Mus musculus: one gene and its partners. The protein of the gene in region 1 purifies or fractionates together with the protein of each later gene. This does not show direct contact. Links are inferred from orthologs where the notes say so. Each region holds a gene or a part of one and is shown in the gene's direction. Other genes may lie near its edges. The genes, in order: Ifi204, Pes1, Pop1, Ebna1bp2, Ftsj3, Brix1 and Gnl3.

Region 1 (3,500 bases):
ACCACTAAATGTATTACTTTACTTTTTTATGTTATGCGAATTGGTTGCACTGATCAAAAAATTAGATCCAATTGGGTCTGTGGAGACAGAAACACTATCTCCATAAACTCAAAATCTATGAAGTTCATAGCTTTTTGACACTTTGCAGATTGTCTCATAGTTAGAGAATCTTCTCTCCATTCAAATACTCTATTGAAATCCAGGGAGCTCAGACCACTATACAGAAAAGAGATCAGATCCTACCAATATCTCTCAGGTTCCACAAATCATTGCTGATCAGGAAAACTCTCTATCCATGTTTAAGGACATGTCTCTAACAAAATAACTCTACTGGAGCCTATTTAAATGAAGGGGCTGTGAGCCAGCTAGTATTTTTGATCATTTAATGATAGACTGTTACACCTTGTGGAGATACACTGTGATTTCTATCCTCAAAATAACCCACAGTGAGTCCGATGGTAACTAAAGACCTTTGACACCTTTATGATATTTTATAATTATTGTCTATTTTCAAAAACATTTAATTTTCCATTTTTATCTGCTTTGGACATAGTGTAAAGATTTTATTTGAATTAATCATATTTCTACTTAAGTACTCCATAAAATTATTCTCAAAGAATGTGCTGTATTTATATTCAACACTTTTCTTCATGTTAGAAAGTAACTCTTTTTTTTCAGTGAAAGTGTTTAAATGTCAGTGGATGGAGCCCCTTGCTTTAATTCATTGGCCTTTTGGTCAACTAAAGAATTCCTGTTTAGCTTATCTTCAGTTTTACAAATTCATAAAAATTGTTAGGAACAATGTTGAGATTGAGATTTGTCTCATGTAAAGGTTAATTTGTATTTCTGCTAAACTCATATGTTTATATCCCTGTATTTGTTCAACACAGAACCAAAAATCACAACCCCAGAATCAGAACATTCCCAGAGGTGCTGTTCTCCACTCAGAGCCCCTGACAGTGATGGTGCTCACTGCAACAGACCCATTTGAATATGAATCACCAGAACATGAAGTAAAGAACATGCTTCATGCTACAGTGGCTACAGTGAGCCAGTATTTCCATGTGAAAGTTTTCAACATCAACTTGAAAGAAAAGTTCACAAAAAAGAATTTTATCATCATATCCAATTACTTTGAGAGCAAAGGCATCCTGGAGATCAATGAGACTTCCTCTGTGTTAGAGGCTGCTCCTGACCAAATGATTGAAGTGCCCAACAGTATTATCAGAAATGCAAATGCCAGCCCTAAGATCTGTGATATTCAAAAGGGTACTTCTGGAGCAGTGTTCTATGGAGTGTTTACATTACACAAGGTAAGGTGTGAAAACTTGTCTTTTAACCTTCTACACCAACACCTGGAAACAATTTCCATAATAATTTTTCATTTAGTGCTTAATGACAGTATTGCAACACAAGACTCTACCTTGTCTAGGGATAAAAAGAGAAATCATCAAATAGATTAGGGAATAAGATTGGGTGATCTCTTAACACTCAATTCCCTAAGATAGATCTGAGAGAACTCTCTGGAAATGGTGTACAAGATACTTCCTTTTACTACTTACAAATACTTATGCTCAGCCACAGCGAGCAGGAAAGTGACAGGGCACAGGTTGGTGTCATGCTAACAGTTTCTATTTGAAGCTCTATGCAACTATACAACACTTATTCATTTCTTTCTCTTGGAAGCTTTATGGCTCTTTAGTAGTCTTTTAACAAAAGCTCTTTTAAAAAATCAGAGGGTGGATTGGGTGGGTGAGATAAAAATCTGGAGTGTAAAAAAATAGATAGATTTAAAATAGAAAAAAATCTATTGTTTTATGGCATACTCTTTTCACACTAAGCATATGAACATCAATGGAGTACTACTCAGCTATTAAAAAGAATGAATTTATGAAATTCCTAGGCAAATGGATGGACCTGGAGGGCATCATCCTGAGTGAGGTAACCCAATCACAAAAGAACTCACATGATATATACTCACTGATAAGTGGATATTAGCCCAGAAACTTAGAATACCCAAGATATAGGATACAATTTGCAAAGCGCATGAGACTCAGGAGGAAAGAAGACCAGGGTGTGGAAGCTTTGCCCCTTCTTAGAATTGGGAGCGGAACACCCATGGAGGGAGTCGCAGAGATGAAGTTTGGAGCTGAGACAAAGGGGTGGACCGTCTAGAGACTGCCATATCCAGGGATCCAACCCGTAATCAGCCTCCAAACGCTGACACCATTGCATACACTAGCAAGATTTTGCTGAAAGGACCCTGATATCGCTGTCTCTTGTGAGACTATGCTGGGGCCTGGCAAACACAGAAGTGGATGCTCACAGTAAGCTATTGGATGGATCACAGGGACCCCAATGGAGGAGCTAGAGAGAGTACCCTAGGAGCTGAGGGGATCTGCAATCCTATGGGTGGAACAACAATATGAACTAACCAGTGCCCCCCGGAGCTTGTGTCTCTAGCTGCATATGTATCAGAGGATGGCCTGGTCGGCCATCAGTGGAAAGAGAGGCCCATTGGTTGTGCAGACTTTATCTGCCTCAGTGCAGGGGAATGCCAGGGCCAGGAAGTGTGTGAGTGGGTGGGTGGGGGAGGGTGTGGGGGACTTTTGGGATAGCACTGAAGATGTGAATGAAGAAAGTACCTAATTAAAAATAAAATAAAATTAAATTAAATTAAAAAAGAAGACCTGAGGAGACTGTGTCAGCAGCAGGAGGATTAAACCAAGGATTGTTTTTTTGTTTGTTTGTTTTTGTTTTTGTTTTTTTTTTAATAATGTCACTTGAAACCTTGTTTCCAAACAACAACAAAACCAAAAATTTAATAAAAAATGAATTAATTATCAAGAAAAAGAAATTTATGGGTAATAGCTTGAGTAATGTTCAATGCAGTATAAATTGGAGACTATTTCAAAAAATTACCTAAACGAATGCAAATATTGACTATGACAATTTGGGAGTTATATATAGATTAGATGGCAAACTCTTCAAGTCAAAACCATTCAATAAAATGAATTGACTATCTCTACATATAGTAGGTTTAAGCATTTAGTGTAGATTCTTGTGTGTTGTTCTATTAACGAGTTATTTCTGATTAGCATAGCAACTGAGAACTACTATATGAAATGACATTTTGGAGGCAAATCAACCTACTTTTCTAGATTCACTAGATTTCTAGACTTACTAGATATATACAGATATCTTTTTGATGCATCAAAGAAGGAAGAGGCCTGTCCAAAGTTCTGATTCCAGTGATCTCTGGTAATTTGCTGGGAACCCAGGCTGTTGAGAAATAGAGAGTAGTGGAAACAGGAAGAACATTTATTGTCCTAGCACTTCCTGGAAGAAATCTGCAATTCAAGAAATCAAATTATTATAGTTGTAGAGAAATGGCATGAGGAGACTGCTCCCAGCTTGCTAGCTGTGAGGAAACCTGGGATCTTTGTCACTCTCAGCAGACTGAGTGAGGAGGCATACTTTCTCAAGGAGGGAATCCTGCT
Region 2 (3,500 bases), on another chromosome or scaffold:
TTGGCATTCTTGAGCTGAGGGGCCTGTTGGCCCAGGCAAACAGGTATGACCAGTTTCAGAAAGCATTGAGAAGACCCTGCCCCATGTTCATCCTCCATAGAGGAGATGCTCAGAGGCCCTGGCCGAAGCCTCATTGGTCCCTTCTTCCAGGTGTTTGTTCGGAAGCTCCGCAAAGCCTATGGAAAGAGCGAATGGAATGCTGTGGAGCGCCTGAAGGACAATAAACCCTGCTACAAACTTGACCACATTGTCAAGGAGCGGTGAGTCCTGCACCTCAGAATGCTGCTGTTGCTGCTGAGTGCTGTCCTAGTGTTAGGGATGAAATGGGCTCAAGACCAGCACTTGACTGATAGTGCATGTCCTCTTAGAGGAGTTAGACCAAAAGCCAAGCTAGCAATCAGTCCTGATTGTAAGTAGCATTGGTTACAGTAAGGGTTGTAAGGCAGCATGGAGAGGGCTTAGGTGTATGGTACAATTGCATACTCAGAGAGGTGTCTGCAAAATGACCTATTTGGGGCAGCCAGGAATACACTTCATGAGCAGAGACAGCAGTACCTTCAAAGGCCCCATGGTGGAAGAGCTGGAGCCACTAGTTCCCATACTACAGACTTAGAAAGCATGGTAAGAGAGGTCTGGTCTTAACTGTTTCTTGCTCAGCCTTCCAAAGACCCCTCCCAGTCACTAGCTGATCAGTGACTTCTGCCTTTTCTGGGGAATTGGGCAAATGCCTGAAGACCCTTGTAGTTCCTACAGTTTGGATGGAAGCCAGCATTGGTGCTAAATATTCTTCAGTGTTCATAATAGTTTCCACAACACTTTGGCCTGGAACTAATTAAGTGTAGAACTACTAGGCTATTATCTCTGTTCTGTGCAGTGGTCTAGGCACACTTAGTTCCAGAATGAAGGGGCCTAGCTTCCTTCCTGGGATCTGGAGGGCCTTGGCCTGGAAGATAACAGTTGGTATCAGGAACTGGATGCCAGAGGACAGGAACTCCTGAGCAAGTACACGTTACTAACAGACATTTTGGTAGCTCCTGTCCTGCCTATGACATGACCTTTATATGGAAGAGATAGTGGGTGTGAATGAACCCAGAACAAGCACCTGGGTTCATTCACAAAGCAAAAAGTCTCCTTTACCAGAACCAAAGCCGGGTGGTCTAGAAGAGGCGTGTGCTTGACCTACAAAGGGCCTGGGGTGTTAGCTTTGTCTACAGAGTAGAAAGTTAGGAAACTTTGAGGCACCAAGGGGGCTGAAGAAGGATGCTTCCTCTGCCTCAGGAACCTAGGAAGCTGTCCCATCACCTGCCAGGTCCCTAAGGCTTCCCTTCATCTCTGCCTGCTTTTGAAGTCCTGGCAGCCCTCTCAGTTGTCGTAAGCAGTGTTGCCTGTGCCCTTCAGAGCCCTTTATAACATGGCAGGGCAATCTTAGTTGTTGTTGTTAAAGACAGGGTTTCTCTGGAGTTCTGGAACTTGCTCTGTAGACCATGCTGACCTAAAAAAATCTGCCCTGCCTCCCAAGTGCTGGAATTAAAGGTTTGAATGGTTTTTTGAGACAGGGTCTCACTAGCTCTGACTATCCTGAAATTCATTGGCCTCCAGCTCCCAGAGATCGCCCTCCCTCCCTCCCTCCCTCGCTCCCTCCTTCCCTCCCTCGCTCCCTCCCAAATGCTGGGATTAAAGGTGTGCTCCAGCACACCTGGAAAGACCTTTTCTCCCAGTGAGCCTTCCTAGACTGTGGTTTAGATGCTGGCAGCTCTGGGGATGCCGAGCTTGAGGAGGGAAACTGAGTCCTGCATATTTGTCTTTACTCGGTGTGTTTAGAGCCACAAGAGGTGGGTGGATTGGTGGTTTGATTTTTGAGATAAGATCTTATAGTGTAACCTAAGCTAGCCTGGAACTCAGGATACTTCTGCCTCAGTCTCCCAAGTGCCAGGACTGCAGGTGTGCACCACCACAGCTGCTTAAAGACACCGTATTTTAAGTCATTTTTGTTCAGCAGTGCCTTTTTCTAGATAAAGCTGGAGTTAGATGAGGCCTAGTGACCCAGTTAGGGTCACAGCTCAGTTCAGGTACCACGACTTGAGATGGAGTGTCTTTTGTGTCCCACACTTCTGTCCCTTTTTTTGGAAACCACCAAAGCAGTTGTGCTTTGACACCTTTTGAGACAGGTAAGACCCTATCTCAAAAAATCATTCAATCCCAGCACTCTTGCCCAAGTGATACTTTGTCTGCTTCTTCACTCACCACGGCGATCCTGGAAATCCGTGATTACTCTAACTGGACAGGGTCCCAGTTAGAGATGGATCTGTCAGATACATGCATCGGACTGCTGAGAAACGGGAAGACAAGACCACCCAGGTGCCAGTGCGCCTGGGGAAGGAAGCCCACTTTCCCTGGCCTACTAGGTCGACTTCCCGTTTTTCCTTTTTCTCTGTGGGCCTTTCCAGTTTCAAGTAGAGTCAAAGAGCCATCAACTTGGTGTCCTCGTTCACAGAAGGTAACATGGGGAAGGTTCCTGAGGTCCCAAGAGTTCACTGGAACTTTCTAGTTTTCAGTGGCTACAGGATTGTTTGCAGATGCATGGCCAGCTGTGGGAAAGTTGTTGCTATCACCATCTGAGGAAGTAGCTGTGGCAGTGCCTAGCTTGGGTGTCAAGGCCTCTGGATAGAGGGCCTTGGAACCCAATGGAGTGGGCATGAATGCTGCCCTCTCCACCCTGCAGGTACCCCACATTTATCGATGCTCTGCGGGACCTCGATGATGCCCTGTCAATGTGCTTCCTCTTCTCCACCTTCCCTCGGACTGGCAAGTGTCATGTGCAGACCATTCAGTTGTGCCGTAGGCTCACTGTGGAGTTCCTGCACTATGTCATCACTGCCCGAGCCCTGCGCAAGGTGAGCTGAGGCTCTTCTGGGGAGCCCTGGTCCTGCCCTGTCACTCCTTGGCTTTCATGCTGTTCTCCCTCCCTCCCCAGGTCTTCCTGTCCATTAAAGGCATTTATTATCAGGCTGAGGTGCTGGGTCAGCCCATCGTATGGATTGCACCCTATGCTTTCTCCCATGATGTAAGTGTGCCTGTTGGCAGGGCTTTGTGCTGTTTCCTGGAAAGGTGTTGGTGGGGTGCTGTCTTGGAGTCTAGCCCTTGCTTGGTTCCTGATTATTGGCAGCTACGCGTGATGAGAGCCAGGGACAGAATAGGGACTATGCTCTACAGCCCAGTCGGTCAATAACCCTGATCAGTCACAGTTCTCAGTGTGATATGAGCATAGACGCATAGGCTAAGCCTGACTGTCCACTCCAGCACCCCTGCTAGAGCAGTGCTTCTCAGCCTTCCCGACACTGCCATTCTTTAACAGGCTTCCTCATGCTGTGGTGACCCCAACCATAAAGTTATCTTTGTTGCTACTCCATAACTAAATTCACTGTTATAAATCATAATGTAAATATCTGATATGAATATGGTCTTAGGTTACCCACACATTGAGAACCGCTGTGCTAAAT
Region 3 (3,500 bases), on another chromosome or scaffold:
GCAGGCAGTGCGATATTATAGCTGCTTTTAGTAGACCTTTAATCCCGGTGCTCAGGAGGCAGAGGCAAGAGGATCTCTGGTTTCCCAAGGAACCTTCTCTTCTCTTCTCTTCTCTTCTCTTCTCTTCTCTTCTCTTCTCTTCTCTCTCCTCTATCTTTCTCTTCTTTTTTTTTTGAGACAGGGTTTGACTTGGACCTAAGGATGACCTTGGATTGCAGGCATGGACTGCCATTCTGAGTAAAACATCCTCTTCCCTTCCCTTCCCTTCCCTTCCCTTCCCTTCCCTTCCCTTCCCTTCCCTTCTCCCTTCTCTTCTCTTCTCTTCTCTTCTCTTCTCTTCTCTTCTCTTCTCTTCTCTTCTCTTCTCTTCTCTCTCCTCTATCTTTCTCTTCTTTTTTTTGAGACAGGGTTTGACTTGGACCTAAGGATGACCTTGGATTGCAGGCATGGACTGCCATTCTGAGTAAAACATCCTCTTTTGTTTTGTTTTTGTTTTTTTTAGACAGGGTTTTTCTGTGTAGCCTTGGCTCTCCTGGAACTCACTCTACAGACCAGGCTATCCTCTGCCTCCTGAGTACTGGGATCAAGGGTGTGTTCTGCACCCCCACACCACGCCCCCCTGCAAATTTTTTACTTTCTAGATTGACTGTGAAGTCTGTTTTCTAGCAGAATTTAGCATTTATCTGTCTGTAGTCTAATGAAATGAATGAATTGGTGTTTCCACAAAGGTAATGGGTGGTTTTGAGCCACCATATGGGTGCTGGGAATTGAACCTGGGTTTTTGTAAGAGCAAGGCGTGGTAAAACACTGAGCCATCGCTCCAGCCTCTGTTGTATCTCCATAAAGGATGAGGCCTGCTTGTCCTGCTAGCAAGTGTTAGGTCTTTGTCTCCTTTCTAGGATTACCTGCCTCTGAAATCTTAATAGTTTCTATTGCCTCCCTCTTCAGTCAATGTGAGAGAAGACTCCAAACTAGCCAGCTAAGCAGAGGGGCCTGTCAGGTCTCCACCCCATCTGTTTATGCTTAGTCATTGAATCCTAGTGCTCCGCTGTGCTCTGAGATGCTTACAAAGAAGGTTCGGGTTCAGCCTTTCCTTTTTAAACTGTAGGCGGAGAAAGCTGCTCATCAGAAAAAAGAACATTCAAAAAATAAATGCCACAAAGCCCGAAGATGTCACATAAACCGGACTCTGGAATTTAACCGCAGACAACAGAAGAACATATGGTTAGAGACTCACATCTGGCACGCCAAACGGTTTCATATGGTGAAGAAGTGGGGTTACTGCCTTGGGGAGAGGCCCACGGCCAAGAGCCACCGAGCCTGCTATCGAGCCATGACAAACCTCTGCCTCCTGCAGGTACACCAGGCTACTGGACTTAGAACCTTCCCTGTGCCAAGTCTTAGGCTTGTTCATGGTGCAGCAGTCTTTTCTGTAATGTTACACATCTTCCAGATGAAGACAAGGACCCTGCTGGGTGCTGGAGGTGAAGGGAGAGGCACATATGTCCAATTGTTAGTCAGATAGATGGGTGTAAGAGACAGGATGCCAGGAGGGACAGGATGCCATTCTTTTTTAGTCAGTGCTAGACTAGAACACTTGATTTTATGCTTCACATGTGTTCATTCATCAGTAGTCCTTACAACAACAGCTTAAGGAAGTCAGTTCCTGTTTTATAGATGTGGAGACTAAGTTACCTCCGCCCATACAACCTGAGCTTGGGGCTCAGGCCATCTGACTTTTGACCATTTTTCTTTGTTGTGACCCAGTTGTATAAATTTGGGTGAGCTCCATCTGATAACTGAGAGGGAGCCATTGTTGGCAGGAAGGTTTCTGTGTCAATAATGGAAGTGGTTGATAGGGACTTGTTCAAATCACCACTGTAATTTTCAGTTCCTGCTGCTTAGCAGGCTGGACTTACTTCAGAGTGCTGTGGAGAGGGTTGCTTGGGCACTGGTCCTGGCTGCAGTGCACAGATGAGTGTGCCGGTGCCTTGGTGCCCTCTCCTGGGACATAAGAACAGGACTGATGGTTAACTTCAGGACTGTAGCAGTCAGCACAGTTCTTGAGATTCCTTCATACTCAGTCCAGTCTCTCCTCAGCTTCCTCTCAGTTTGCCCTGTGCATAGCTTACTCTAACTGGCATGGGAGGGAGATGGACAGATTAGTTCTTTATGTCCAACTTAGCACTGCACTCGGAGGTGCTGCAGTGGCTAGCCAAAGTGAGCAGGGGTTTTTTTAGCATAATTTTGTGGACTTCTTCTTGTCTTACTCCTTTACTGTGGCTTCTCACCTTCTGTAGATCTGAGGAATAATGAGTAATCCTTTTTTAAAAGCAGTAGTTTTTATAGCCTATTTTGAACTTGCCTGTGAGAGTAGAGTGAAGCACAATAAGCTTGCTAAAGTGTAGGGCACTGTATATGATAAATTAAATGAAGGTGCATTTTGATTTTGACTCAGATTGGCTTAAGACTATCTGCTAATGTAATAGTAGTAGGCAGGCTTTAGATTTTGAGTTGTTGAAAGCTGACTTCCGGTAATTGATTTTGTTCTTAGAACAGGTTTTCTGGTTGTCGGAGATGTTAGATCAGATCCCTTCTGGACGTGGAGTTAGAGGTAGTTGTGAACCACCCAAAGTGGGAGCTGGGAATTGAACTTGGGTCCTCTACAAGAATAGTTTGTGCTCTTAACCTCTGAGCCATCTCTCCTGTGTTCCTCCACAGGTTTTCTGATACAGCACTGGCTTCTTAGCATTTTTTTTTACCCCATAACAGATCCTAGAATATTTAAACATGTCTCTCCTTTGTTCAGGATTTATCATATTACTGCTGTTTGGAGTTGAAAGGCAAAGAGGAAGAACTACTGAAAGCGCTCTCTCAAATGTGTAGCATAGACGCAGGTAATTTCAACAGCTTGTGCTGTGTTAATCTTTGTGTATCTGTTCATTTGTAAATAAATGTCTGTTATAAGCACTACTAAGCAGTTCAGATTTAATATGGAAATGTAAGATATTCTTATTCCCAGTGAGTACGTTAATTTAAGAAAGGTTGAGTTGATATTTAAATCTTTAATAACATTCTTATGTAAAGTGAGTCATTATTCCCGGAGTAAACTTAGGCAGAAACACCTTGAAACTCACTAAATCATTGATTTAACAAAGATTTTTTGAGGACTTACTCTGGCCAGAACCAAAGCTTCTCTCAGAGACTGACAGTTGCTAAAGCATGGCTCTCAGGAATAATACTGCTCTGTGTGAGCACCCACAGTCTCGCTGTTGCATTTATGTTTGTGCCAGGCCTGACTTTTGCTGCAGTTCACTGCTTGTCTGGGAAGCGGCAAGGGAGCCTCATGCTTTACCGGGCAAATAAGTATCCCAGGGAAATGCTTGGGCCGGTTACCTTCATCTGGAAGTCTAGGATGACCCCAGAGGATGCTTCTGAGGATAGGCAGCTGTGGATCTGGCTTCACCCAACTCTTAAACTGGTATGTCTTTCTGTTGCAT
Region 4 (3,999 bases), on another chromosome or scaffold:
CTCTTCTGGCCTGCAGGTATACATTCAGGCAGAAAACTGTATACATAACTCTTTAAAATAAGTAAATAATCCGGGCAGTGGTGGCATACACCTTTAATCCCAGCACTTGGGAGGCAGAGGCAGGCAGATTTCTGAGTTCGAGGCCAGCCTGGTCTACAGAGTGAGTTCCAGGACAGTCAGGGCTACACAGAGAAACTCTGTCTCGAAAAACCAAAAAAAAAAAAAATGTTAAAAGGTTATTTGTCACTTAAGATAAAAATTTCAGCGTCTCCATCAGACATGGGTTCAATGAAGGTCATGTACTCTCAAAACCGTTAGACTCAAAAGAAGGTTCTGGTGAGGACAAACACAACTGCAGGAGAATACAAGAAAAACACTGTTTAAAGTAACTCTTCTCTGGAGTCATTGTGGAAAAGTACTTTTAAAACGTGTGTTATTTTACCTGTCATTTTGGCTACTTGTGTCACGTTAATCTATGATTAAGTAGTGTAAATGGCCATTTATTTTGTTTACATTTATAAAAATATGTGGATAACCCAGTTATCAAAAAAAAATCTTCCCAATCGTTGAGATTGTGCGGTTTTGTGTAGCACATGCCTTTAATGTATGTGTCAGAATGGAAAAGGTGGTTTCTTTTTTTCTTTTTTACCTGCAATGAATTTTTGCCATTTCTGATCTATATTGTACTTCACACAGTGATTTCCTGAAGGAAATATAATGATCTGTTCATCGAAGAAGAAGACATTGTTGGTCACGTGAGGCCGAAGACCAAAAACATGAAGCGCCTGAGCTACCACGGTGGACATGGTACCTGTCAAAAAGTATTGCAAAAGATGAAGAAAGAGGCAAGTAGGTGGGAGTGAAGCCGAGCAGCGCATCTCCCTTTCCTGCCCCGCCCCGCCCCGCCCATGGCCCCGGCCCGCCCCTCCCTGACCCCGCCTCGCCCCTCCATCGCCCCGCCCCTAGGCTCCTCTTCCTTTCCACCCCACCCCCGGGGCTCTTTCCGAGCCTTTCCTTCCTCTCCTGCACTCCCACCGCCCTCAGATCCTTAGGAGGACCCCAAAGAAACTATTTACCTCTTGCTTCACGGCTCTGGGTTACTAGACTACGTAGGGATCAGTAGGTGCTCTTCCTAAAGATCCGAAGCAATCCGGGCACGCCCAAACGCTAGAGCAGTTCCTATAGCAACGAGAAAACCGGAAGTGCGGCTATGAACCCGGAAGCGGAAGTCCCTGTTGAAAAGGCAGAGGCTTGTGGAGAATTTGTTGGCGGTGGTGCTGCTTGTGGGCACGTGGAGTGGCAGCCGAACCTCGCGGGGCGGAAGGCCGCGAGATGGACACCCCTCCGCTTTCAGAGTCGGACTCGGAGTCGGATGCGTGCCTGGCCTCAGATCAAGAGGTAGGCCGCAGCGGAGCTAGCGGGGCAGGGGCTGGGACGGGGACTTTATTTAGCTCTTTGGTACTGAGGCTCCCCGGTCTGTAGTTGCAGGATGCGTTTTCCCGCGGACTCCTGAAGCCAGGTCTCAATGTCGTGCTAGAGAAGCCGAAGAAGGCAGTGAATGACGTGGTGAGCTCGTGCGAGGGTCGGGGTCCTTGGAACAGGATGCGCACAAGCGCTGTGCCTCTTGGGAGACCGATTCTGGTGGGAAAGATGCACCCTGCGCTGCGGTCGTCATCCTGTGCGGATATTTGAGCATAGGACTTTGGGTTTCTGAGAGTCAAACTCGCGGTTCTCATGAGCGCCTTGTCTGACTTAACCTAGAGTGGCCTGAAACAGTGCTTGGCTGAATTCAGACGGGATCTGGAGTGGGTTGAAAGGCTCGATGTGACCCTGGGTCCAGTGCCAGAAGTCAGTGAGACTCAGCCAACACCTCAGAACCAGGACCAGAAGAAAGGCGTTAATCCAGAAGACGACTTCCAGAGGGAAATGAGTTTGTATGTTTGTTATGGGTCCTGCGATGGAGTTACAGGAAGGGGGTCTTAGTGTGTCTGCAACCTCAGAGGCACTGGGCGGGGTTAGCACGAGCGTGCGAGTGGATCTAGCGGGTTCCTCTGGTGGAAAGAATAGGTTCTTGGTCGCCGTTTAACCAGAACCCTGCTCGAGGGATGTTTCAGAATAATTCATTTGAAGCTTGTGTGGGTGCCTCCAATCATTAGAACACACTTTGCCTAGGGAATGTTATGAGTGCTCTTTCTGTAATGATTGGGAAACAGTTCATAGTCTGCGCAGTATTTAATAAGCTCGTTGTTTTAAACTGACTTGCTCTTGGAAGTATTTTCCCCTCGTAAATAAACATAAAGTGAGATTTCAGTTATATGTGCAATCAGTGGAGTTTTAGTTGGTGTGTCTGTCTTATCTTGCCAGTGCTGGTGGGATGTGATAGCTCTGAGGTTAGGTAACTTCTGAGAGGCAGTAAGAAGACATGAGCGCCCTTCCCCTCCCCTCATTACACCCTGTCCTGTAATGTCAGCTACCGGCAGGCCCAGGCAGCAGTGCTTGCGGTATTACCCCGACTCCATCAGCTCCAAGTCCCTACGAAGAGGCCCACCGATTATTTTGCAGAAATGGCCAAGTCTGATCAGCAGATGCAAAAGGTAGGTTTTTCTTCTGGAAAGCCAAGGTTTCATTTGTTCAGCTGGGTCATTCCTGTAGTCTTCAAAAAAAAAAAAAGATGTGTGGTGTTTGTAGCCAGTATTTCAACAGTCTCTGCTTCAGAGCCATGCCAGTCGCCTAGGCAAATTAGAGAGAGACGGTCTGGAGAAGTATGGGCCCTACGAAAAGAAGCTTGCGTATTTCTTCCCTGTCAGAGTGAGTGGAGTGGACAGACACAACAGTCTTAGAGTTCTGGCCCAGCAATGCCAAGGAGATTACTGTTGCTTCTAGATGGGGTTTTCCTCTCTGGCCCTTTAGCTTTTTAGAAATGGAAGACTTGACGGATAACTCAGATGTGGTGTGACTTAGAGTTGGGGGTTTGCGTATTTCTTCCCTGTCAGAGTGAGTGGAGTGGACAGACACAACAGTCTTAGAGTTCTGGCCCAGCAATGCCAAGGAGATTACTGTTGCTTCTAGATGGGGTTTTCCTCTCTGGCCCTTTAGCTTTTTAGAAATGGAAGACTTGACGGATAACTCAGATGTGGTGTGACTTAGAGTTGGGGGATTTGATCTTCACTTAACTTTGGGAGGAAAAAAACCTTGACGTCACATCCAGGATGTATTTAAAATTGTTCCTTTGGTCTCAGTCTTTGGCCTAGAGAATTACAGGTGGTACCTCAAGAGGCCAATCCTGAGACAAGCACAGATCCATCTACATCTGACAGTCACACACATAACTACTTAGCACTTTCAGTACAATGTGTGTGTGAGTGTGTGTGTGTGTGTGATGGAAGAGGTGAGGTACGAGTGTGCAGGAACTATTACAGATGTGGGCCATTAGAATGCTGCAGTTTTGCCTTAATCTGTGGAGAAACAGCAGGTCCTGTATGATAAGTAGGCAGCTTTGTGCCTTAGAGAGTCAGGGTCGTGTTTAAGCTCCTTCAGCCCATGGACACTTTTGGTGCCAGGCTCAGCTTTGGGACCGTATTGTTTTAATTTGGAAATCTAGGACAGTAAATGAGTTCCACAGCGTTCAGAGCTAGTCAGACACTGGCGCTCCATTCTAGTGTGCTCCAAATAGTGCCTAACAACTCTCTGCGTTTTAGATTCGACAGAAGCTGCAGACTAAACAGGCCGCCATGGAGAAATCTGAAAAGGCCAAGCAACTTCGAGCGCTTAGGAAATATGGAAAGAAGGTGAGAAAGAAAGAGCACCTGCGTGGGCCGGGCAGGGCCGGGTGCGCCAGGGCAGACTGTGCTGGGGTTCCTGGTAAAGTGTCTGCTGGTGTCCCTGAGCACAGGTTCACTCGCCACCGTGGCACACCTGGGTGTATCCAGCATAGTGTGGTAGCAGTGGCTGAGCTGCAGTCTCTAGAGTGATGGTTTGGGATGCAGGGCTGACTTTGTG
Region 5 (4,073 bases), on another chromosome or scaffold:
CACACAAACAAAAAATCCTAACTAAACACTATTCCCATCAAAGAGATTATCAATCTACCTTACACAGCTTGGTACCTCCTGACTACAAAGGAGCTGGAGAGATGGCTCAGCAGTCAAGAGGGTTTCTTACTGCTTTTGCAGAGGGCCTGGGTTTAGTTCTCAGCACCTGTAGTAGCTCATAACTATTTGTACGTAACTCAAGTTTCAGGGGATCCACTGCCCTCTTCTGACTTGCACAGACATCTGTATATATGTGATACACATAAGCTTACGCAGGCATATATACATATACACATAAGAAACAGACAAGCAAAGAGCTGCAAACGAACAACATTGGAAAAGAACTCTTTGCTGCACTCCCAGTGGAAAAAGGACACAGAGAAATCTGCACCTACCAGCTCCCGTCCTCCACTAGCTCCCTTTGCTGTCTGTACTCACCTGGAGTTCTTCAATCTTGGACAGATAATATTGACGGAGTCCACTGCCTGCCTTCCCCTCTTCCAGTTCCATCTGAAGACAAGTGTAAGTGTTAAAAAAAAAAAAGAAGAAAAGAAAAGAAAAGAAAAAGAAAAGGCATAAAGTACTAAAGGGTAAAGCCAAAGTATTTTCGAGGCACTCTACCATATAGCTTAAGAAACAAGGTCAGGAAAATACCATTCCCTTTTCCTCAGAAACTGGTATCTCGATGGGCGAGGTCTGTGTGTTTGAACTTCGGAGGCTTAGTTCTTGGTTCTAAGCCTTCATTTCTGAATCCACTACAAGGATGCAATTACCGCCTACCTTCGAGGACTTTTAGGAGTCTCAAGGGGCCATATACCCACCGAGCGCACTGCCCTGTGGCTAGAGCTACACATCCCCAGGGTTTAACTACTACAGACAAAGGCAGAACAGAGGGACCAAGTCCAGGTCGAAGCCCAGGCCATTCCGGCTTGCCAGCTTCATTCAGTTTCCACCCACCCCTGTCCTGCTTTCCTCAGGGCGGCGCTGACACAGCAGATCCAGTCCCAGGCAGAGTCCGGTCTGACGTGATCCACCCACCCCTGATCCACTGGACCCTCTCGCTCGTGGCCACCCCTCACTTCAGATTTTGTGCACTCCACACTCAGCTTGGATGCCGCCCAGCCGCCGCGGCAGAATCCTTACCTGCTCTGGCCCATCAAGCGCCATCTTCCCTCTCTCGGCAGGGATCGCCGGCATCCAAGTCACTCTATCGCGCAGGCGCGGAGGCGAAAGCATGCGCCCTGGGTCACCACCGAGAACAGTTCCGGGTCAATGGGCGGGGTGTGTGGCGATACAAACACAGTGGCTGTATTAGTAGAGGCTCTACTGGAGGTCACTAGTTTTGTGAAGAGATATAGAACTTCTGGTTGATGCTTCCTAGCGTTTAGGATACGAGTTATTGCACTCTACTTCCTAGCCTCTACTTTTAACTTGTAAGGCCTGCTGACAAAAAAATTTTGGCCACACTCAAAATGGCGGAAATCATGACGCCAGGAATGTAGGAAACGCGCGCAGAAGCGGAAGTACGATTACTGCCTACATGTGCTGCTTCCTAAGAGTTGAAAACCTGCGGAGTTAAGGGCTATCTAACGTCTGGGTAAGTGATTGCTCCACCGCCTGAGGAACCGAAGCGAGATCCAGTGCTCGGAAAGACGATCTCACCTTTTTCTTTCTCCCCAGAGTGAGTGATACTCCCCCATCCCGCCATGGGCAAGAAAGGCAAAGTAGGCAAGAGCCGGCGGGACAAGTTCTATCACTTGGCCAAGGAGACTGGTGAGTGGGTTCGCGCTGAGGAACAACATCCCCGTCTTTTCGCTTCTTCTAGTCCCGAGTTCCTTTTCCTTCGAGGGGGTTATGGGATTGTGAGGCTTTCCTCCTGGGAAAGGCCTCCGTAGACGGTATTGCCTTATACACCCACTCTCCACGATCCAGGTTATCGTTCGCGCTCTGCCTTCAAACTGATCCAGCTCAATCGCCGCTTTCAGTTCCTGCAGAAAGCCCGGGCCTTGTTGGACCTGTGTGCTGCGCCTGGCGGATGGTAACGTTTGGCAGGGGCTGCTATGATGACACGTTCCTGGCACTGGTTGGCTTTGAGTTGCTTTTCGGGGAGGATGGGAATCCGATTACACAATTCAGATTAAATATTCCATAGTATGTGTCTCTCTCAAATTTTGGAAGGGAGCGTCATTTTCCCCCTCTTGTGGTACTGAACCTAAGGACTTAACTCATGCTAAGGACTTAACTCATGCTAGGCAGCCCCTCCACCACCGAGTTATATCTCCAATTGCTTTATTTTGAGACAGGGACGCTGAAAAATTGCCAAGGATGGCCTTGAACTTTTGGTCTTAATCTCTTGCCCTCCTTAGTGGCTGGTAATGCAGCCCTGTGTTGCCATGCCCAGCAGGTTGCTTCTTGAATGTATGCATAGACATTTGGCCACTACACTTAACAGGTGCCTCTTAAGGGGATGAGAAGTCACCTTGCCAAGGGAGGATGAAAGGTATTTAAATCTGTCTCTTTCACAGGCTGCAGGTGGCTGCCAAGTTTATGCCTGTATCCAGTCTTATTGTAGGTGGGTGACTCTTGGGTATTTGAGGGGGAGGGGTGGGTTAGGTACTAATTTTGTCCTACATCTTCCTCCACCCTGTAATACTGAGTTAACATCTTTTAGGAGTGGACCTCGTTCCAATCAAGCCTCTCCCCAATGTGGTGACTCTCCAGGAGGATATCACAACAGAACGCTGTAGGCAGGTAATAAGACCTCTCCTTCTTTTCTTTCCTCTTTATGTGCTGGTGTCATTGCCTACTTATTTATTTATTTAGTGTGTGTGGTCTTTCGAGACAGGGTTTCTCTGTGTAGCCCTGGCTGTCCTGGAACTCACTCTGTAGACCAGGCTGGCCTTGAACTCAGAAATCTGCCTGCCTCTGCCTCCCAAGTGCTGGGATTAAAGGGGTGTGCCACTAGTGCCTGGCTGTCATTGCCTCTGAAGAGTGAATGAAACACTTCCCAATTTACCATGGTTTCAAGCACGTGGCCAAAAAGACTGACAATCCTTGTGTACATTTCCATCTTTATTTACAATCAAGTGTTTTTGTTTTTCCCTGAGATAGAGTCTTGCTGTGTACTTTAGGATAGCTTCTAACTGTGTAGCCCACACTGATGTGGAGCTGAGTACATAGCCTAGTTTGGCCTTGATCTTGCAGTCTCTCTCCCTCTGCCTCTGGGATTGCAGTCGAGTGCCACCGTGCCTGGCAGGGATAGTACTGTGAATTGGTGGAAGGATGAGAGATCTATCTTCAGAAAAATTCTTTCCAGGGAACTAATTCTAAGCTTGGGGAAGATGTATATTTTTTGTTGCTGTTGCATCCCTAGTACCTGGTGCAGGATGTTGGCACTGGTGGGCGCTCAGTGCATGACTAGACAGATGACTGAACCAGAGTTCTGTTCTTAGCAGTTACTGTGTTTCCATTGCTAGAACCCCTTTACTTTCATTAGGCCCTGAGGAAGGAGCTGAAGACCTGGAAAGTTGATGTTGTGCTCAATGATGGGGCTCCCAATGTGGGGGCTAGTTGGGTCCATGACGCTTACTCCCAAGGTACAGGGAATGTGGGCTTGGAGGTGAGGGTGGAGGTAGCACATCGAAAGGCTGCAGAGGTTCCCTGACTGTTTCCGTCCTACAGCTCACCTAACTCTGATGGCTCTGCGTTTGGCTTGTGATTTTTTGGCCCGTGGTGGTTGTTTCATCACAAAAGTCTTTCGTTCCCGAGACTATCAGCCCTTGCTGTGGATCTTCCAGCAGCTGTTCCACCGTGTCCAGGCCACGAAGCCCCAAGCCTCTCGCCATGAATCTGCAGAAATCTTTGTAGTCTGTCAAGGTGAGACGTTATTCCTTCCTCTTGACACAACCTAATTATGAAAGCAAACTTTTATTTAATCTATCTTCTCCTTTTAGGATTCCTGGCTCCGGACAAGGTTGATGCTAAATTCTTTGATCCCAAGTTTGCCTTTAAGGAGGTTGAAGTTCAGGCTAAAACTGTTACTGAGTTGGTGACAAAGAAGAAGCCAAAGGTGG
Region 6 (4,136 bases), on another chromosome or scaffold:
GTCACTTAAGGATAGGATAATTCAGTGTCAGGCAGTGGTGGTACATGCCTTTAATCCCAGCACTTGGGAGGCAGAGGCAAGGCAGAAGCAGGCGGATCTCCAAGAACTTGAAGCCAGTCTGGTCTATAAACCAAGTTCCAGGTAACCAGGGTTACATGTTAGACTCTATCTCCGGGGGAAAATGCTCCGAGGAAAAATTACAGCCAATAAGAGGAAAAACTAAAACGTGCATGACAATAATACTGTAAAGAGTAAATAGGGTTCTCGCCCTAATTCAATCAGTTGTAAGACTACTGAAAATTAAATCTGGTGCCACTATGTCAAACGAGAAAGTGTCTATATGTGTAAAGATTAAAAGAGGAAAATGGTGAGAAGAGTCATTAATAAACTATCACTAGTAATCGTTATCTGTGTGAGACAAGATGGGGAAAGTATTTGTTGGCAGGAAAGAAAAAAAAGTAACGACATTTTGTTCACTAACTTGAGTTTTGTTGAATTAAGTCCTTCCAAATTCATTCATTAGGGAATGCTTTAAAAATGTCTTCACTCCCCCATACCTGAATAAAGGCATTTGCTTGCACACACTTTGCATTCTCCACTGTAACCTTGATTCCGTTTTTGGTAGCAAAACACGTGGCGTGTTCTCTGAAATGAATGGCTTTCAAGACAGTGGAGAGATTCCTAACGTTGTCAAGGCTGGCCACTAAGCAGTACTGTTCGTACTCCTCTTCATTGTACTGGGTTAGGAGAGGCATGGATGGTCCACGGTACCGTCGGCTCCGAGAAGAAGGATGCTCCTCTTCCGGAAGATGTGTGAAAACCTGAGACACGGAACAACAAACCTCGCTATCAGTGCGGACAGGACTGGCGACCTCAACCCGAGCCGAAATCGAGATCATTCTATTTTCATGTCTCAAAACTACGGTATTCTACACTGAATGCAGTTCACAGGGTAGCTCTAAAAGGCGCGGGTAACCGGGCTTGCTTAGCACCTCTGAGCGCCACCAACCTGGCTTGCAGGAGAACGCGACTTCGGCCCGCTCGCCGCACAGCGGCCACTAAGGGAGCCCCTGGCGCCAGGCTGTGGGTGACGTCCGACCCCTCAAAGCCCCTGCCACCCCAGCCCCAAGAACACCCTGAGCGTCCAAAAAGCTAGCAAGCCAGGCAAACAGCTCCCGCCACCGTTCAGATACGCAACCACCTAGGCCACCGTCACCACCGAGCCGCCGTGTGCCTAGAGAGTCTACCTCGAGACCGGAAGCGAGCGCCTTGGAGCCGGATGACTTAACTCACAGCCTAACGTGGGCTACCATAGAGATCGGAAGGCAGAGCGAGCGGCAGAACCGGAAGTGCAGGCAGCGACCGACGCGGCGAGGCGAGATGGCGGCGACCAAGAGAAAGCGGCGTGGAGGCTTGGAGGTTCAAGCGAAGAAGCCAAAAAGGAGCTCGAAAGATGCCGGGCAGCCAGCTAAGCAGGCCGATGTGGCCAAAGAGGCGGAGGAGGAAAATAGAGATCGTATTCCAGGTCCGGTTTGCAAGGTAAGAGGCCCGACTCCCGAAGTTGGAGTCGGCGCTCTGACCCACCTTTGGGCCACCGAAGCAGCGAAGTGACTCCAGTCAAAACTTGACAGGATCTTATGCTTAGGGTTCCCTGGAGGGACTGGACAGTGTTTATGTCTAATTTTCGTGTAGATGGCCTTCTTCCTGGAGACAGCAGTTCGTAGACCCTAAGCCAGTTAACAGGGAGTTGATTTAATGGGTGTTTAGTTCCAGGATCCTTGTCTTCCAGTTACTGACCCCCACCCCGCCTCCCCAGAGTAATGGTTTTCCTTTGTCTTTTTTTTTTTTTTTTCTCAGAGTCTTTTTGGTGTAACTATAAATTCCTTCTGTTTTGGTCCGTATCACATAGGATTACCGAAGTATGTATGTATGTATGTATGTATTTATTTATTTATTTGCCAAGCCTTTAAAGCTACAGTCCTGTGAGTCTGTGACTCTGACTTGTTTGGTTAGATCTTTTAACTCAAGGGTCCTAGACCACTAGTTTTACTGTGTCAAACAGTGCGACACACTTATACCAAGATGAGCTTCCCTGGCCTTAGCATCTAGGAAATAATGAACAAGAGTTCCTCCAGAAATATTGGAGTTTAGAAGGAAAGAAGGCTTCATAGAAAACTGTGTGTCTCTTCTAAAGGCCAGCAGGTTCTTGTTGGAGTTACTTTCAGTCACCTGGAAACTCCTTAAGGAAGGTATCTGTATGGAGGAAATCTTGCCTCAGACTTGTTAGTCCTTTGTGCTTAGTGTAGTACTCAAGTACTGAGTGAGGCAATGTGGACATTGTACCCCACTTTTAATTAACAGTTAAATCTTGTACCTTTGTCTGAAAGGATAAAAGTGACTTTTGAGGAAAATTAGCTGGTTTTCAATAAAAGTTAGTGCGCTCCCTCTTAGGAGCTGGACATGAAACATGAAGGGAACTAATCTGAATCACACTATGATATATGAATTGGAATTAATGAGACAATTACTACTATTAGGGTGGTAAGGAAACACCCTAATAGTAACTTTTAGCTGAATTTCAAAGAAAGGCTTAAATTTATGTATTTAGAAAGACAGGGGGGGGGGGTGGTGGAAAAAATTCATCAACGGCATTAAATGGGGGTTTAGAAATTCTAAACTCAGCTGGTTAGCTGAGAATGTGCAGGGTCAGTGTTGGGCAGTGGAGGTGTAAACAGTGAACATGTAGTATAGAGGGTATTTGACATTTTGAGGTTTGGAAACCAAGATTAAATTGGGGCTAGTTGGCTGTCAGCGGTGATTCTGTCTGGGCAAGCCAGACATCCAAGAGCTTCGCAGCTGATAATCAGTCACAGGGATTTGAGGACACTTGTAAGCGTTATAAATTGTTGTAAGGAGGTACCGATTTAGTAGTGCTTATGATGTCTATATAAGAAACTAGAGACAGCTGGGCGTGGTGGCACACTCCTTTAATCCCAGCACTCGGGAGGAAGAGGCAGGCAGATTTCTGAATCCAAGTTCCAGGACAGCCAGGGCTACACAGAGAAACCCTGTCTTGAAAAATAGAGAGAGAGAGAGAGAGAGAGAGAGAGAGAGAGAGAGAGAGAGAGAGAGAGAGAGAGAAACTAGAGGTAAAGGGGTCTTCAGAGCATGAGGAACTGAAATGAAGTAGCAGAAAGATGGAAGGACAGGAGAGGAGAAAGGAATGTTGGTAAGGAAATATGCTAGATTTAAATTTGGTAAAGGTTTGTGTTACACAGACGAGCTTGAAGCTTTACTTTAGTGCATGCATTACTAGAGCTAGAGAGACTTCTTACCCTTCTGTACATGGTTAAAACTGGAAATGAAGCCAGGCACTGATGGCGTACGCCTTTAATCCCAGCACTCGGGAGGCAGAGGCAGGTGGATTTCTGGGTTCAAGGCCAGCCTGGTCTACAGAGTGAGGTCCAGGATAGCCAGGGCTATACAGAGAAACCATGTCTCAAAAATCCAAAACAAAAAACAAACACAGAAAAAAAAAACCTGGAAATGAACATAGGTACTGTAATGGAGACCAATAAAAAGTTAAAAATGAAAGGGTGCTAAGAAAAGATCCTTATGGTGGTGAGGGGCAGTTGAAAAGTGGTTTGTTTTGTTTTGTTTTAATGTTTCTCAGTTGCGGACAGTTGTCTGTATTCCCAGGATAGCCTCAGTTTCCTGGTTCAAGTGCTCCTCCTGCTTCAGCCTCCCTAGCTGGGACTACATAGAGGTATACCAGTGATGCCAGAGATTGGAGACTTGACGACTGTCAGAAACACACCAAGTATGTTCAGCACAAAATGTTAAGCTCTAAGGTTTTCTTTTCTTCAGGGCAAATGGAAAAATAAGGAACGGATCCTCATCTTTTCTTCCAGAGGAATAAATTTCAGAACAAGACACTTAATGCAGGACTTGAGAATGTTGATGCCTCATTCTAAAGCAGGTACTTTAATATCGGGCTTTAAACTGTGTGTGTATAAGCCTGCTTACCGTATATTACATACTTACTTGTTTGCTCGGCTTTGTCAGGCAAAGAACCCCAACACAAGGGTTTCGGGGACAGCTTAGTGAAGTAGATCTGAGTTTAGTCCCCAGAACTG
Region 7 (4,001 bases), on another chromosome or scaffold:
GATCTTAAAAACTACTAAAGCAAAAGCTATGTTCCTCAACATCTGGAATCCAATATGCTTCTGAATTACTTTGGGGGGAAAAGCCTACTACCAAATGGGTTAAGAAAGAAACGTATAACCACTTTTTTGTTTTAATGGCAGGTCTCACTATGTAACCCAAGTACACTGGAACTTGCGATACTCCCAACTCAAGAGCTAGAACAGGTGTTTTCTACTGTGCCTGGCTCCTACAGTAAGTTTTGAAAAGTTTGGATTAAGATAGCATATTCCACCATACGCTTCTATAGTTAGTCCTCGAATTCCTACATCCGGTCTATTGTGTATTTGTCATTTGTTTTCCAGGAATTTTATATTTTTGTCCCCCCTTTGATATCAAATTTTCTTAAAATAAGACTCACTTCTTCAGAAAACAAAATTTTGAAACGGAAAATACTTTTAAAACCAGAAAATACAGTTTACAAAAACTCAACTCGTCGTGACGGTACAAATGAGAAGCTTAAGTACCTAGCCTGTAAATAAGTAAGTCTCTCTGACAAAAACAAAAAAATATTCCGTTTGGGCGATCATTGGGAAAGAAAAAAACAAAAACAAAAACTCAATAGGGAGTTTTTTGCCGAACGCACAAGAAACCAAAAAAAAAAAAAAAAAAAAAAAAAAAAAAAAAAAAAAAAAGAGGCCTTGAGAGGCGGAGGAAAAGAAGAGTTCGCCCGACCTGTCACTGGTTCTGGGGCTAAAGGAAACGTTGACAGCTTTGAAGGCGGCCCGCGACGGGCGGGAAAGAGCAGCGAAGGGAGTTTCCGGGCCCTGCTCTGCCTTTGTCCCGGCGGCAGGTGCGGCCGGGCTGCTGGGCCCTGTCCCGAGGCCCCGCCGCCGTGCCGTGCCGCGCCCCGCCCCGCGCCCTGCCCGACCAGCGCGTCCGCACCACGGGGCGGGGCCTCCGCCGCGACTCCCGCCCGCCCGCCCGCCCGCCCGGGCCGACACAAAGGCCCGGCAGCCGGCCGAGGAGGGGCGGCCCCGCCCGCCCCGGGCCCGGCCTTACCCCGCCGCTCCGCCGCCTGCAGCCCCGGCTGCGGTCCCCGACCGCCGAGCCCCGCCCCGTGGCCGCCACGGCTGCTAGCGCTCCTCTGGCCGCGGCCGTCTCTCCGGCACCCGCCGCCCTCACCGCCCTCACCCCTCCCAGTGCTGCCGTAAATCCAACCTGTGGCCGCCAGGCGAGCCCGGCTCGGCGCGACAGTGTATGTGTGTGCGCGCGCACTCGGCCCGGCCCCGACACACTTTCCGGCAGGTCCTGGAGCGCGTGACGTTGAACCGCAGTTCCAGTTCGCACGTGGCGCCCGAGAAGTCGTGGTGATCCCGAGACCTCCTCTGCTCCTGAAGCGTCCGCGGCCAGGATGAAGAGGCCTAGTGAGTGGGGTCGGGAGCGAAACGCGCGGGTGGTGCTTTGTGGCTGGAGGGAGAGGACTCTCCATAGGCCATTGATGAGTTCCGCGTAGATCTGATGCTTAGAAGGCCCAGACCCAAATTTGGCCTGTTGTATAGCAGGAGAGCTAAGCCCTTGAGAGGAAAACCGAGCCAGATTTCTGTGATTAACGTGTTTGAGCCTCTTTTCGAGCCTGCCGTTTTCCTAGAACTATTCAGAACCATGGTCTTTCGGCCTTGGTGGCACGCGCCCTAATCATGTACACGAAGGATGACGCAGTAAGATAGAAAGTTTGCAGCCAGCCTGGGCTGTATACTGAAACCATGGCTTAAAAATTAAAAAAAGAGCCTGGCCGTGTTGGCGCACGCCTTTAATCCCAGCACTTGGGAGGCAGAGGCAGGCGAATTTCTGAGATCGAGGCCAGCCTGGTCTACCAGGACAGCCAGGGCTACACAGAGAAACCCTGTCTCGAAAAAATAAAAATAAAGAAAGAAACCTTGATATTTGTAGTGCTTTCCTCTAGAAGCTGCTTCCATTGTGGGTCCACCGAGTCGAATTGACTGGCGTTGTGGTGTGATTTCCATTAAATACCCTGCATAACTTTGCAGGGACGGTTGAGGCAAGATCTATGTTGCCCGGGATAGCCTTATTGTTGTAGGCCCCCATGGCCTGATAAAACAATCTCTTGAGGGCCAGGAATATGGCTATAAACACTTGCCACTAAGCCTTACTGTCAAGAGTTCAAACTCATATGATAGGTAGAACTGACTCCTGGAAATTGCTTTCAGACCTACACACAAAATAAGTAAATGAAACATTTTGGGTATGGAGTGAAGACCCAGGGTTGTCCCAGCCCACGTGGCAGCTCCATGCTGTCTGTAGAAGGACAAGTGATGAAGCCCTCTTGTGGCTTCCTTTGCAAGAACACTACATGCACGTGGTTGGTCTGCTGACAAGAGAGGGCAAAACATCCATATAGGTGATGTGAGAAATTTAAAACACTCACTGCTCATGTGTGCAGTCTTTCTCTTTCTTTGTTTTGGCAGAGTTAAAGAAAGCGAGTAAACGTATGACCTGCCATAAGCGATATAAAATTCAAAAAAAGGTAAGTGTTCTGTGAGGCCCATAGCAAGTGGGGTGCTAACATGGCTTTCTTCATCTCTGTGGGGAAGGCTCTTGTCATGGTATAGGATTGGACAGACTGCAGCTGTGGGAAAGTACAGGGTAAACGAAAGCCTCAAGCTAGCACACTGGCATCTTTACAGAGAGCTGCAACACTTTTCTGTTTTTTGTGTACATGTTAATTCCCTGTATAGTTCCAGTTGAAGTTCTGCTTTTCTAGGGTGCTTCACATCCATTATAAATTGCGGATAGGCTGGCTTGTTCCCTAAGTTCTCAGTGCTTATGTATTTTTGTAGGGCGAGTTGTTTCTTTTGTATTAATACTGAGGATTGAACCAAGGCAAGTGCCTTCCGACCTCATAGAGCTGTTTTTAATAGGTCCGAGAACATCATCGAAAATTAAGGAAGGAAGCTAAAAAACGGGGTCACAAGAAGCCTAGGAAGGACCCAGGTGTTCCAAATAGTGCTCCCTTTAAAGAGGCTCTTCTTCGTGAAGCTGAACTAAGGAAACAGCAGGTAATTTTTGCTGGCTGAAAGCTCCAGTAGAATGATATATGTGGTTTCCAAAGCAATACACTGCCACCAGTCACTCGCTCATTCCTCTCTTTCACGTCTCTGACACAGCTTGAAGAACTAAAACAGCAGCAGAAACTTGATAGGCAAAAAGAGCAAGAAAGGAAAAGAAAACTTGAAGTTAGCCCTGGTGATGAGCAGTCTAATGTGGAAACTAGGGAGGTAAGGTTATCTTTCCTTAAAACTTGCGTTCCTTGGGAGTAACAAAACGTAGGCTTTCTCATCCATTTAAAATATATTGCCTGTAGTGATCTGTGGGAAATGTTGATATACTGGTAACAACTGCTGTTTCTAATTTTTCTTCCTTTTAGGAATCTGACGAGCCCAAAAGAAAGAAAGCCAAAGCAGGCAAACAGAATCCAAAGAAGTTACATTGCCAGGAACTTAAAAAGGTACCTTAGTATAGGTTAGTGTCAAAAATGATCTAAGATTTTTGAAAACTTAGTCCTTGACAGCTGCTTTGTAAAGAGGGAATTCTTAGAACGCTGTTGAAGTCAGAGTCTAAAGGGTGGGCAGTGGATTCCCAATGTGCTTGCTTGCTAGAGCTCCCCATTTCAGGCATGCATTTCCCAAGCTCACCTACCTGCCTTCTAAAAAGGCCTGTTAACCTAAGGACTCAATTGGGTAGATTATATGTCCAGACTTAACAGTCAACATACTTGATAGTGAAATGCATACAGGAGATCCTATCTTCTGGATTCACTGTCAGTGTTGAGGGTGCTACTCAGTAAGGACTGCTGCTCTGATGGTTTCTTACTTGACAGGTGATTGAAGCCTCAGACATTGTGTTAGAAGTTTTGGATGCCAGAGATCCTCTTGGTTGCAGGTGTCCTCAGATAGAAGAAGCTGTTATCCAGAGTGGGAGTAAGAAGCTGATACTTGTATTA

The links.
Region 2: the proteins of Ifi204 (region 1) and Pes1 purify together in Homo sapiens (affinity purification with mass spectrometry; 3 studies listed by BioGRID and IntAct, with this or other methods). This does not show direct contact. The link is inferred for Mus musculus from reciprocal best matches to the Homo sapiens genes IFI16 and PES1.
Region 3: the proteins of Ifi204 (region 1) and Pop1 purify together in Homo sapiens (affinity purification with mass spectrometry; 3 studies listed by BioGRID and IntAct, with this or other methods). This does not show direct contact. The link is inferred for Mus musculus from reciprocal best matches to the Homo sapiens genes IFI16 and POP1.
Region 4: the proteins of Ifi204 (region 1) and Ebna1bp2 purify together in Homo sapiens (affinity purification with mass spectrometry; 3 studies listed by BioGRID and IntAct, with this or other methods). This does not show direct contact. The link is inferred for Mus musculus from reciprocal best matches to the Homo sapiens genes IFI16 and EBNA1BP2.
Region 5: the proteins of Ifi204 (region 1) and Ftsj3 purify together in Homo sapiens (affinity purification with mass spectrometry; 3 studies listed by BioGRID and IntAct, with this or other methods). This does not show direct contact. The link is inferred for Mus musculus from reciprocal best matches to the Homo sapiens genes IFI16 and FTSJ3.
Region 6: the proteins of Ifi204 (region 1) and Brix1 purify together in Homo sapiens (affinity purification with mass spectrometry; 3 studies listed by BioGRID and IntAct, with this or other methods). This does not show direct contact. The link is inferred for Mus musculus from reciprocal best matches to the Homo sapiens genes IFI16 and BRIX1.
Region 7: the proteins of Ifi204 (region 1) and Gnl3 purify together in Homo sapiens (affinity purification with mass spectrometry; 3 studies listed by BioGRID and IntAct, with this or other methods). This does not show direct contact. The link is inferred for Mus musculus from reciprocal best matches to the Homo sapiens genes IFI16 and GNL3.

The regions. Positions count from the first base shown.
Region 1 is NC_000067.6:173,753,420-173,756,919, reverse strand, and holds part of Ifi204 (interferon-activable protein 204), read left to right. Parts: intron 1-890; coding exon 891-1,313; intron 1,314-3,500.
Region 2 is NC_000077.6:3,970,475-3,973,974, forward strand, and holds part of Pes1 (pescadillo homolog), read left to right. Parts: intron 1-150; coding exon 151-260; intron 261-2,722; coding exon 2,723-2,894; intron 2,895-2,974; coding exon 2,975-3,064; intron 3,065-3,500. UniProt on the Homo sapiens protein: Component of the PeBoW complex, which is required for maturation of 28S and 5.8S ribosomal RNAs and formation of the 60S ribosome.
Region 3 is NC_000081.6:34,505,311-34,508,810, forward strand, and holds part of Pop1 (ribonucleases P/MRP protein subunit POP1), read left to right. Parts: intron 1-1,108; coding exon 1,109-1,357; intron 1,358-2,809; coding exon 2,810-2,897; intron 2,898-3,293; coding exon 3,294-3,481; intron 3,482-3,500. UniProt on the Homo sapiens protein: Component of ribonuclease P, a ribonucleoprotein complex that generates mature tRNA molecules by cleaving their 5'-ends. Also a component of the MRP ribonuclease complex, which cleaves pre-rRNA sequences.
Region 4 is NC_000070.6:118,619,600-118,623,598, forward strand, and holds the start of Ebna1bp2 (probable rRNA-processing protein EBP2), read left to right. Parts: upstream 1-1,199; 5' UTR 1,200-1,332; coding exon 1,333-1,398; intron 1,399-1,482; coding exon 1,483-1,566; intron 1,567-1,761; coding exon 1,762-1,934; intron 1,935-2,470; coding exon 2,471-2,594; intron 2,595-3,698; coding exon 3,699-3,788; intron 3,789-3,999. Other genes in the region: Cfap57 (cilia- and flagella-associated protein 57), read right to left, coding at 650-806. UniProt on the Homo sapiens protein: Required for the processing of the 27S pre-rRNA.
Region 5 is NC_000077.6:106,253,285-106,257,357, reverse strand, and holds the start of Ftsj3 (pre-rRNA 2'-O-ribose RNA methyltransferase FTSJ3), read left to right. Parts: upstream 1-1,273; 5' UTR 1,274-1,597; intron 1,598-1,680; 5' UTR 1,681-1,706; coding exon 1,707-1,773; intron 1,774-1,932; coding exon 1,933-2,038; intron 2,039-2,525; coding exon 2,526-2,572; intron 2,573-2,671; coding exon 2,672-2,751; intron 2,752-3,496; coding exon 3,497-3,596; intron 3,597-3,681; coding exon 3,682-3,876; intron 3,877-3,953; coding exon 3,954-4,069; intron 4,070-4,073. Other genes in the region: Psmc5 (26S proteasome regulatory subunit 8), read right to left, coding at 439-510, 1,144-1,167.
Region 6 is NC_000081.6:10,483,138-10,487,273, reverse strand, and holds the start of Brix1 (ribosome biogenesis protein BRX1 homolog), read left to right. Parts: upstream 1-1,336; 5' UTR 1,337-1,380; coding exon 1,381-1,539; intron 1,540-3,867; coding exon 3,868-3,979; intron 3,980-4,136. Other genes in the region: cell cycle checkpoint protein RAD1, read right to left, coding at 558-755. UniProt on the Homo sapiens protein: Required for biogenesis of the 60S ribosomal subunit.
Region 7 is NC_000080.6:31,016,332-31,020,332, reverse strand, and holds the start of Gnl3 (guanine nucleotide-binding protein-like 3), read left to right. Parts: upstream 1-1,201; 5' UTR 1,202-1,391; coding exon 1,392-1,404; intron 1,405-2,466; coding exon 2,467-2,525; intron 2,526-2,919; coding exon 2,920-3,057; intron 3,058-3,165; coding exon 3,166-3,276; intron 3,277-3,425; coding exon 3,426-3,506; exon of another isoform or gene 3,507-3,520; intron 3,521-3,878; coding exon 3,879-4,001. UniProt on the Homo sapiens protein: May be required to maintain the proliferative capacity of stem cells. Stabilizes MDM2 by preventing its ubiquitination, and hence proteasomal degradation.